Linked DNA regions of Kluyveromyces lactis. The protein of the gene in region 2 purifies or fractionates together with the protein of the main gene of each other region. This does not show direct contact. Links are inferred from orthologs where the notes say so. Each region holds a gene or a part of one and is shown on either strand. Other genes may lie near its edges.

Region 1 (5,924 bases), about 1.0 Mb from region 2:
CAACTATAATCACAGTAATGGCTCATCAAACGCACCTGCTCCTACAGTCAAGGGTAAAGTTTTACCACCAAAACCAACGAGATCACATCCGTTAGATTTCCCAAGAAATCCTAACGTCAATATTCCTCGTTATGGGAGCAGCTCATATCAACCCTCAAACGATAGATATAGAAAGTATAACTCCTACTCCGGTTTCAAAAAGAGAAGGTGATTCAATATAGATACCCCAAATACATATATATGTGTAACCAAGTCTCGTCTCAGAAGAATAGCAGAGATTTTGAACAATATTGTACTAACTAGCGTAATTTATGGAAAGATGAAAAAATAGTTGCAAGCCAACTGCGTTTTCTCGGCTGCTGTTTCCGCGAGGCTTATATATTAGGCTTTCCACAGACACTAGTACTTGTCAAATAATAAACTGAGCCAAAAATAGAGAGCGATAAAAATAATGGTTCCTAGCGGGATCGAACCGCTGATCCCCGCGTTATTAGCACGGTGCCTTAACCAACTGGGCCAAGGAACCAAATTTGTTGGAAATGTCGTAATATAGACTGAGGACAAGCCAGACGAGAGGTCATGTGGGCTAGCCAGCACACGGCAGAGTTCCAAGACGTCAGTGACTGGGCATATGGATCCTGTGGTATCCAGAGGGATGGCATAGATGGATCATAGACTGTCACGTGATGGTCTTGAGTGCGCGTGGAGGACGGTAGCTGCACAGGACCTACAAGGGCATGGAGGCAACGAGTTGCCATGACGAAGTCTGACGACCATCCGAGTATATAAGTCGAGTATAAAAGGCTGAGCTATGTTGCGACCTCTTGGGGAGGTTGGATGCAACAAGAGAAAGAAGAGCAAGGACGCATAAACTCAACGATCTAACTAAATAGATTATTATATTATATTCGTTATATTGTTTGATATCAACGATCCCTCATCAGGCGATTAATCAATCAACTATCATCCAAAGCATATCACTACAGAAAAACAAAAATTCTAAGATGTACGTGTATACTTAATTTACCATGTGACTTCATTTTCCTTCCATGTTGATTTAGATAACGAGATATAGCTTGTCAAAGGGGTGTCAAGATATACATTCGCTACTGGCTTTCAAAAGCCTGTACTTGTTTCGGTATAAGCATTCACAAATGGTCTATGTGGCTTCAATCATTTTTGTCATATGTATGGCGTTTCCCATAGTTTTCTTTAGTTGATAATTGTCAAAATTTGAACAATGAATCATACCTATTAATCATCTCAATTCACAACATTGGGATACAGAAGAAGAGCCTCGTAGGTTTCCCTTATACTCCCAGCAGTGTATTATCAAAAGCTTTTGAAACATGTGTCTGTGCTGTATCTGCTGTACTGTATCAGATTTGATACTTTATATTGTTGCCATAATATTCCCACCGATTGCCGTGGGATTGAGATCGGGTTTATGTTCCAGTGACTTACTATTAAACGTGTTGCTAACTATGTTTGGGTTCCTCCCTGGAATGATTCATGCTTTTTATTATATTACCGTCACGTCACCGCTAAGGACGGATACCGAAACACGTTATTATTATGAGCAAGGGTGGAATGACGGACAAAGATATGGAAGCCCATCTGCGGTAACGACCGTTTCTCATCAACCCACTGGTGTAGAAGATCCTCTATTGCCAAGAACTCAGATTCCTCTAAGATATGAACCAAATAACTACGCTCAGGATGTGCCAAAGGGTTCTCCCCCACCATACACAGAAAGTGTATGATTAGGGGCGGTTAATTATCAGCACCTCATTTTTTTTTTACTTCTGCTATTTCATGATTGTTGTACATCTTCTACAAGGATTACCATTATATTAATTAGGGTTTATATTAGCTGCTATTCACGTAAACGTATAGATTATTTTGACTTACATTGTTGAAAGACTTCTAAGTTTTGGATCTTTTATTCATTTTAAAAACCTCAGGAATTACCATTCCAGCGTCTCTTTTATTGGATAGTGAGTAGTTTGTAATCAATATTTGGTCAACAAAGTTATCCGATTGTTGCGTTCTCAAACTATCTAATATCTTCATAGTACCTAATCGTTGGCCAACTTTGAATTCACCCCTCAGTAGTGCGATATCTCCCGTTAACGTTGTTAAGATGGAATAAAACTCAATATAATAGTCAGAACCATCTTGTTTGAACTGATTTAAAACTAACCCAATATCATTCACTATTCCTACACGGAAGTTTATTACTTTAACAGCCCCGACATCGTTATGTAGTAGATTCCTTGTACTTCTTAGCTGAAATCTATCCACCAACAATATTCCATTGATATCCCAAATCATGCAAAGGGAATCAGTAAGCATGAAAAACTTGATGAATGAGGAGAGATTATTTAAAGCTACATGAGCATCTCTGTCTTCTTCATTTACTTCCAGATAGTCATGTATTGAATCTAACTTCATCAGAGGCTCGTCCACGTATTTAGGACGAAAAGCGTTTACACTTAAAAATTTGTCCACAACAACAACATCCATATCTCTGTAAGTATCTGTAAGAAAAGAAGTTGCAGCTTCATACCCTGTCGAATTTGTTTCACCGTCGAGGCTTACTGTCTTTACCACTTGGAAATTTATAGGGAACGTCTGTTTCCGCAAGAATTTTAGAAACCGTTCAGTTTGTGTTATATTAGATTGGTGTTGGGTATGATTATCTAATATCTCGGTAGAAACTCCAAGTAATGAGAATGATTGGGAATCCAGCTCCAAGTCGACTACAGTTTCATTTCTAGCAACAGAATCGCTTTCATTGCGATTATTTGCTTCTTGTTTTTTGTCATAAAAGAACAATTCATGTAAGCCATCTTTCATATTACCTTGTTTTTGCCTCCAAACGGAGGAGCATTTGAATTCACAAACCATATCGCAAACCAGCATTCCCCTCCATACCCTAACATCTTGTTCCATGACAAAGCTTGAACGATCTCTCTTCAAATATTCTTGAAAAGCTGTCCCATGAACCGCTCTTGACATAAAATCAAAACTGGAAGGTTCTGAAACCCTTCTGTGCTTTTTGGAGAAGTACTCATCTTTAAGCTTTACAAATTCTGAGAAGAATGTCGTATACACCTCAGGTAAGAGTATTTTGTGAATTGTTAACGGCGTCTGCGGTGCCACGGTGATGACACTGAATCTGTCCATCGGGTTGATATGAAATGAGCTAACATCTGTCCTCAAAAACGTAACAAAACAATTTGAAAATGTCGGTACAGGGTCGGGATACCATTGTTTTATCGTTTCATGGAAGAATCCGTCTTCATTGATAGGATAACAATAATAACAAATGTGGCCACAACTATGTTCTTTTCTGAATCGAGTGATTTCTTTTAAGCTCCGTTCTGCAGCTGTTGCGTCAGAAGATTGTACTATGTCCGATCTCCAAGAGAAAGAATCTCTATACCGTTTATAGGAAGGTGATGCTTGAAATTCTTCGTCTTGAACGTAATCGTCTGGTAAGTTCAATATGAACCCAAATATGTCACCAACCGCAGAACATACATATAGAAACTTATCTTTATACTCTAAACCAACAATGGTTGTATCATTTGTAGTTATACTCGAAGTCATTGGTACGCAAAATAGTAGAAAATCTGGTCGTAAAGGAACGTTATTGGTTACCTTAAAATTGTAGTCCTTTATTATTTCGATTATGCCATTATTCCTTGCAACCAAAAGAAAGTCTGAATGCTCTTGATTGTGCAGATATTTTGATGTCGGTACAATAGGCATACTCCTTGGTCGTAGATAACAGAACTTTTGTATTATGCTATTGGTATCAGCAGCCCGATTTTTGGTGTTTACCTTCAAAGGATGGATCCTGTCATCTTTACATTGGAAAGCTCGGTAACCTGAAGGAGTTGTCTTCGAACATGATGGTTGTGAAACCAAAAAGGTGAAATTCGATTGCATTCAGGTAATCTTGGCTGGATATTATAAGGATAGCGTTCCACCTTCTGGGTGTTTTCACTTAAACGTCTTAGTTCGACTGAATAACGTTCATCTATTGAGTTTTGTGAAATTGAAAGACTAAAACCTCATCGCTAAATCTTCGATATAAAAGGACAGACGATATAGAAATTCATAAGCAGCAGAGAACACAACAACGTAAAATTATGAAGGTTATCTAGACCCCAATACTGTCATGAACACATGCGGAGCGTGCTCAATCGAGGAGGTCACACATCTATTCAAGCAGGTGGACAGAAATTAATATACATCGGCGATTTGATACTTATGGTAAAGGTCGACATCTTATGCTACGATCTTATAGTTATCTAAGAATTACCAGAAGATACATGACAGGTATAGGGTGGAACGAATCCGAAGTTTTGGTAGATAGAAAATCCAAGTTTCAAGCAAGGTGCCATGCTATCAAGAACCTGTCTGAAGTTGATAAGTTACTGGAGGTATTAGTGGAAAAAAATAAGGCCGTCCAAAAGGCAACGCACAAGCATATGTATGCATGGAGAACGGCAGATATTATACCCCCCGAGCACAATAAGAAAGGAAATAAGAAGAGGAAAAGGGGTTCATTGACAGTGCCTGGTGAACTGACAGGGCCGGCAATGTTAAAGAATATACAACAAGGATCAAATGACTGTGGTGAGGCTGGTGCAGGACAAAGACTTTTAACCTTGTTAGAAAGAAGTCATATTGCTAATGTTTTAGTTGTTGTTACAAGATGGTACGGTGGGACAGCATTGGGGCCCGCTAGATTCCGACATATTTCAACCACAGCTGTGGAAAGCTTGAAGAAAGGGAAGTTCTTGCCTTAACTATATTTTAAAAGTTTCCTATATGAACCTCATTCTGCAAACGAAAATATGTATATACGACATTATCCTAAAGGAATAGTATCACGTAAAGCAATACTTGTAAATATAGTCAACAGATGTTTAACAAGCCTATTAAAAAGATGTGTGCTCTCAGAGCCAGTGTTCATTGACATAACATACTGAGATGGAATAATCACTTCTGGGATTCAGAATCGTATTTTGAGTATACGTCAGTCCAGTATAATCTCAAAGCTGGATGTTGCAAACCCAATTGAGTGATCTTTTGGACTTCCTCATTAGCCAAAGAAAAACTAAAGATATCTTGCGCTTGTTGGATCCTTTCGATCTTCGAAGACGTAGTTACTGGCAAGATTCCACGCTCATAGACCCATGATAACAAGATTTGAGCCTCACTCTTGTTATACTTCTTTGACAATTCAGCGATATATTGGTAAAAAGGTAGCTTATCAGCATCTTCTGGTCTTCTTTGCAAAGGACCTAATGGTGAGTAGGCCTCAAGTAAAATACCATTCTTTTGACTGAATTCAACAATACCGGGAGTTTGATTTTGCAAGAATGGAGAGAATTCAATTTGGTTCACCTGCGGTTTAACCTCTGCCACTGCAAGCAATTTCTCCAAATCTTTTACAGCAAAGTTTGAAACACCGATGTTCTTAGCCTTTCCAGACTTGTATAGTTCTTCCAAATACTTCCAATTAGCCTCGACATCCAATTTGCTTTCCTTAATTATAGGAGAGTGCAATAGATACAAGTCCACGTAATCAACACCGAGCTTCTTCAATGATGTCTCTAAGGCAACTTTAGGGTTCTCAGAAAGCTGTTTCAAAGTAGAATACTTGTCAGTGATGAAGATTTCATCTCTTGGCTTCTTTGTATCCTTCAAAGCGGCACCCAATTCAGGATAAGTTCTGTATATCTCTGCAGCATCAATGTGCACAACACCTGGGACAGTATCCAATGTTTTCTTCACAATATCAACCAATGGTTGGGAGAAAGTGGCATCTGTCTCCTCGCTTTTGTACCAAGCAGTACCTGTACCTACAATAGCAACTGCAGGAATCTTATTTCCATTAGACAAAG
Region 2 (4,987 bases):
AACAAAATATCCTTTTACTATTATTACAGTTTTAAATGTCTTCGTTGACAATTTCACTCAGGCGTTGTCTTTGATTTAATATTGAAATTATCATCAAGGTTATCATTATTCTCTAATGATTCTATAAAAGAACGAGGAACGTTCAAGCTTTCAGGAACTCTTCTGTCCTCTGGACCCTTCATCTTTCTGTAATGCATGAGAATGTTAGCATCCTTTGTATTGAATTTTCTGATTAACTTGCAGTAGAACAATCCACATGCATTACACAAGGTCCTATTACCGTAAGGCCCCCTTCTCCATTCGGGAGTAACGGTTTCATGACAGTGTTTACATGACTCGGTACCATCTCCTGCCGCTACGCTAATCATTCGTTGCTGCTGTGAAACGCTGTTGCGTTTCCTTGGTTTGACTTTATCTACTTTAAAAGTATGACTTGTTCCTCCGATGGAACTATCGCTTTTACTGCCTCTATGTCCAACAACTTGAATGACCGGCTTTTCCATCTTAGTGTTGGTAGCTGCGGTTGGGATTTCTACTTCAGATTTTCTTACTGTGACGTTGAAAACATTTTTACTCCTGGGTCTCATTGGGAATTGAAACTCTGTCATTGGCTTTTGTAGCTCGTTTCTAAGCTGATTAATACTAGGGAGTTGCGGTTTTTTCCTGTTCCAATCGTTCATGTTCTTCAACTCTAACAACCTATTCGTAACCTTTAACATAGATCTTGTTTCGTTGGAAAGTTGGGTGAGATCATTGACCAAAACATCCTTAATCTTCTGGGAACTCCATGTCAGCAAATGAAATGTCAACTGTTCATTGTACTCTGATAGTCTTTTCAAAATCCGTTTGAATTCTTCTTGATTCATATCCTGGTCGATCGCAGTGTCAGCCAAAAAATCAAGGGATCCACTTCTATAGTGACCACCGTAATGGTAGTCCCTTTGACGAGGACTAATTTGCGGTGACGAATTTGACGACGAAAGAAAATTTCCTGTCGTTGAAACGGTAATGTTTGTTTGTGACGTCTTGTTTGTCCGAATACTCGAATCGTTCTGCCTGTCGTAGTTCAATAGATTTGGGATGGAAGCAACACTATGGTAGCTGACACTTTGGGATAATGATTGAGGTGTTCTCGATGTAGGAGTTGCAGATGATGAAATAGAACCAGATTTGGGACTTTGGGACCCCTTTTGTGCCAGCGACGCTGTCATAGTTTCCATGAATGTCATAATAACAATTATACTGACTAGCCGTATGTCTATTTATGTGTATGTGTGATAAGCAATGTTGAACGAATATATTATTCAAAATGATATCGACTGTGTCTTGGCAAAAAAATTTGGTTTGGCTCTGTGGTTCTATTTTGTTATTTCAATTGAATGATAATGAGATTGCAATCTAACGAGTTACCTCTCTGTTAGTTTCGAATCTACTCTTGGCCTTAAATACCTGGCTTATTTGATGTTCGAAGAACTCGGAAAAGTACGCATATATTTATATCATTTCATTTTTGTATAGATCATTTCAGTTCCTTAATTTGATTTGACACTTTTTTGTCATCAGAATCTAAGTAAGTTTCAATTTAGAATATAGAAACGGCTTGGATTGCCTCCTCCATTTCATTATTGATCCTAAACCAATGAATATTGAAACTGTAAAGTTTTTAAATCTGTGTTATGCCCTCGATATGTCTACTGTTTTGTATATTACTACGTAAAATGTCGACTATAGCTGCTATGAGTGACATCTCATGAATCGTTTCCCTCTACTTGAAAGATACAAAAAAAAGAGTCCAGATTCAAGAAGATTTAAATTGAGAAGTTTCTCGATTACTGTTATCTGAAGCTACAAACCACGATTTGATATCTACATGAACTCCTTTTCTTTTCAGAATTGATCTGTCCCATTTCCTCGTCGTCAGAGGCCTGTTCCCTTATTTATTCACAAAGGTTTTTCACGAAATGAACCTTAACATCACTTAGTAAAGAAACTGGGCATTATCAACAGAAAAACAAAAAAATGAGCACCTAATTGTAAGTTGAAAGTGAGACTTCCTTAGCCCCTAATATTGAAAGAAAGAGTGGTACTATACTATTTGCGCTAAGCATAAGCCAATCTAGTTTTCCCTAGACTTATTGCTTCATACAAACGATGACCAATTTTAAATCTACCTATGAGAAGAAATCTTTCACTAGAGAACAATGGATGAAAGTGGTGCAGGACGCCAATCCCTATGATCGCAGCAACAGTGAGTTGTCGAATAATGAGCCGGTAATACCAATGTTATTATTGAACTATTTTGTGGTGATGGCATATGAGGAATCTAGTATCCGCATGGCTAAGGAGCTTGGGTTTTTGAATTCCAACAAAGACATTGAAGAATTCAACTCTGTATATATGATTAAGAAAAGGGCATACATCAAGGAACTTATCAAGAAGGGTGAAATTTTACTAGCTATGGAAAAGATTACCGAGGTATTTGGAATAGAGGTACTCGAAAGTTTGAATGACCATATTACAGATGAAGATTTGAACTTCAAGCTATTGTTGTTGAACCTTATTGAAATGATTCGTTCCCACAACGCCAAGGGCGACCCTAACGATCAGGAGCAGTTTATATTAGAGCTTATCTCTTATGCTCAGGATAAACTTGCTTTGAAAGCAAGCTCCAAAAAAGAGTATATGAAGGAAGTCGAATTAGTTATGACCCTTCTTCTCTTCCCGTTATCGGATGAGGATGGTTCGAGTCCTTCTGCTAAGTTACCAAAGAAGTTGAAACAGCTATATTCCTTAAATATGAGAACTAAAGTAGCTGATCTAGTGAACAGAAAGCTTTTGCAATCGATATTACCGAGGATAAACTCTCAACTCGAAAAATCTGGTTTACCTGACATCTTAGGATCCAGCTTCCAATCAAATCGAGTTCCCACTCTAACAAACGTTATACGATCCATTCCAAGGGAATCTATCACGACAGAAAGGCTTACCGGAGAGCTAGCACATATTGAAGAAAAGCAGGGAAGTTCTATGAGCACCAATTCCGACATGAGTCGCATACAAGGTGAAATCTTTGAAGAGTTAGGTGAGAACTTGCATTCTTATTATATCCCTAACGACGTTAGATTGGTACAAATCATGAAACTTTGGGTTTGGTGTGAAAACCAATTGCATAGTTCGGATGTTGGTGTTCCGAGGGTTGAAGGAGTGATTTAGTGCAAAATCTATAATCTTTTATACTATATATGCATGGGTTCCCTATATTCACATTATGTTTTCAAGCATTTAACGGCAGCTTGCAATTTTCACACCAAAAACTCACAGTCTATAGTGTCACCAGTTTCCATCTTTAAGAAACACAATTGAATATCGTCGAGGTTTTTTGGAAGTTCCTCGCTCATGGTGTTGTAGATTTTTACATTTTTGGTAATGGTGAAGGTTTTGCTTGGCTGTTTGAACTGATCATAAAAGTGACCATCTTTAAAGAAGTGATAAAGTTTTGATTTTAATAGCCTTAATGTACAACCAAACTCTGGTCTTTTTTCATTTTCGAATTCTTCTGGTGAGAATTCAATGTGGAATGTGATTGGATTATCCAACAGAAGCTTTTTGGTATCTTCGTCGATAACTTGGCATCTAACGTATATGTGAGCGACATGCACAGGTTTGGCAAAGAACTTTTCCCTCGATTCGAACTCCTCGATTATGAGACCGGATTTTTCATCAAACCATTCTGTGGCATGGTACGAATCGTCATGTATGAATCGATGGTTTCTAATAAAATCTTCGTCCAATTTAGTGCTGTTCAATTGTTCCCATGTATCCATTTGTAAGGCACTCATTTGAATTGTTATGTAGAGTTCATTCACAAGAGCAAATCCTCCCATCACCACAAGAAAAAGTGTTATTCGGGCACTTAGCGGGTCATCAGTGTATTGTTTAAGAAAGTTTACTTTTCTGATCCAAGCGATCATAATGCTTTCCAATTGCAAATAGTGACGCAGCACCGTCGCGCGTAATTCCTCCATATTGGCCTTTTCAGGTCTTATAAAGTTATATTAGTTTGCAGGTCACCTTTATTAGCTCGCACTAGTCCACTTCAAGTGATTTCTATATCTTTACGTTTTATTGCATTTGAAGGTGTGTAGTTTCTTCTAAGTTTATCGATTTACAAAGCTTGTTTTTCATGCCCCGACGTTAAACGAGAACAACATACATATCGAGAATGCACATACATTCTTCAAACAATTCATGTGGCCAGCTTCTGTAGCGACCGGAAACTGACTCTAGTTAAATGGTAGGTATGCTTTTGGATTACTCTGATATATCTAACCTTAAACTCCTGACTCTAAATTCTAACTGTTATAAAAGAACTCGTCTTACAATCATTAGGCTCAAGCAGGCAATAGGATAACGTCATTTAAAATATCCTCTGACATTTGCATACTTCTATTTATCGGTCAAATATCCAGTTTATCAATTCATAATGGTCTGAACTACATTCATGCTCCATTTTTTTATGTTACAGCAGCTTGTCTGCTTCTTACGATGAAAGAGTTCCTGCTCTCCGGTCTTTGTATTCTACAGTCTTCGTTCCTGATATCTCCTGTTTAGATCTGTGAATGGCAATTCCTATTTCGTAATTATTTGACATTACCATTTGTAGAAAGGTTAGTGTTTAATACTCTTGACTGGCTTGCCCCTGATTATGAGATCGGTTGCACAACACAAAATAGTCGGCATTGTTACTGGAAAGTCTTTCACAAAAGGGCCCAGCCATAAGATGCCTAACCTCAAATCTACAATTTCTGAGCAATGAAAGCCAAATGTATCATATTCGGCACATCATCATATTTAGCAGCTAGCTTTTAGAGGTTCATCATGTCACAGATATCTTCATCATATATTGCCGAAAAAGGAAACCCGCCGACAGTATATATAAAGTCAGGCCATACAGGCGTAACAATAATGTAAGTCGACTCGCTGGTAT

Evidence for each region. The genes of interacting proteins can lie anywhere in the genome.
Region 1: the proteins of GID8 (region 2) and GID12 purify together in Saccharomyces cerevisiae (affinity purification with mass spectrometry; 3 studies listed by BioGRID). This does not show direct contact. The link is inferred for Kluyveromyces lactis from reciprocal best matches to the Saccharomyces cerevisiae genes GID8 and GID12.

The regions. Positions count from the first base shown.
Region 1 is NC_006042.1:560,292-566,215, reverse strand, and holds GID12 (Gid12p), read right to left. Parts: upstream 3,958-5,924; coding exon 1,927-3,957; downstream 1-1,926. Other genes in the region: KLLA0_F05896g (zinc finger CCHC domain-containing protein), read left to right, coding at 1-211; SNA4 (Sna4p), read left to right, coding at 1,350-1,763; KLLA0_F05797g (uncharacterized protein), read left to right, coding at 4,302-4,823; KLLA0_F05775g (aldo-keto reductase superfamily protein), read right to left, coding at 5,017-5,924. UniProt on the Saccharomyces cerevisiae protein: Regulator of the GID E3 ligase complex. Modulates both assembly of the substrate receptor GID4 into the GID E3 ligase complex and its activity toward its substrates.
Region 2 is NC_006042.1:1,569,139-1,574,125, forward strand, and holds GID8 (glucose-induced degradation complex subunit GID8), read left to right. Parts: upstream 1-2,151; coding exon 2,152-3,213; downstream 3,214-4,987. Other genes in the region: GAT2 (Gat2p), read right to left, coding at 54-1,229; ERG29 (Erg29p), read right to left, coding at 3,303-4,025. UniProt on the Saccharomyces cerevisiae protein: Component of the GID E3 ligase complex recruiting N termini and catalyzing ubiquitination of proteins targeted for degradation.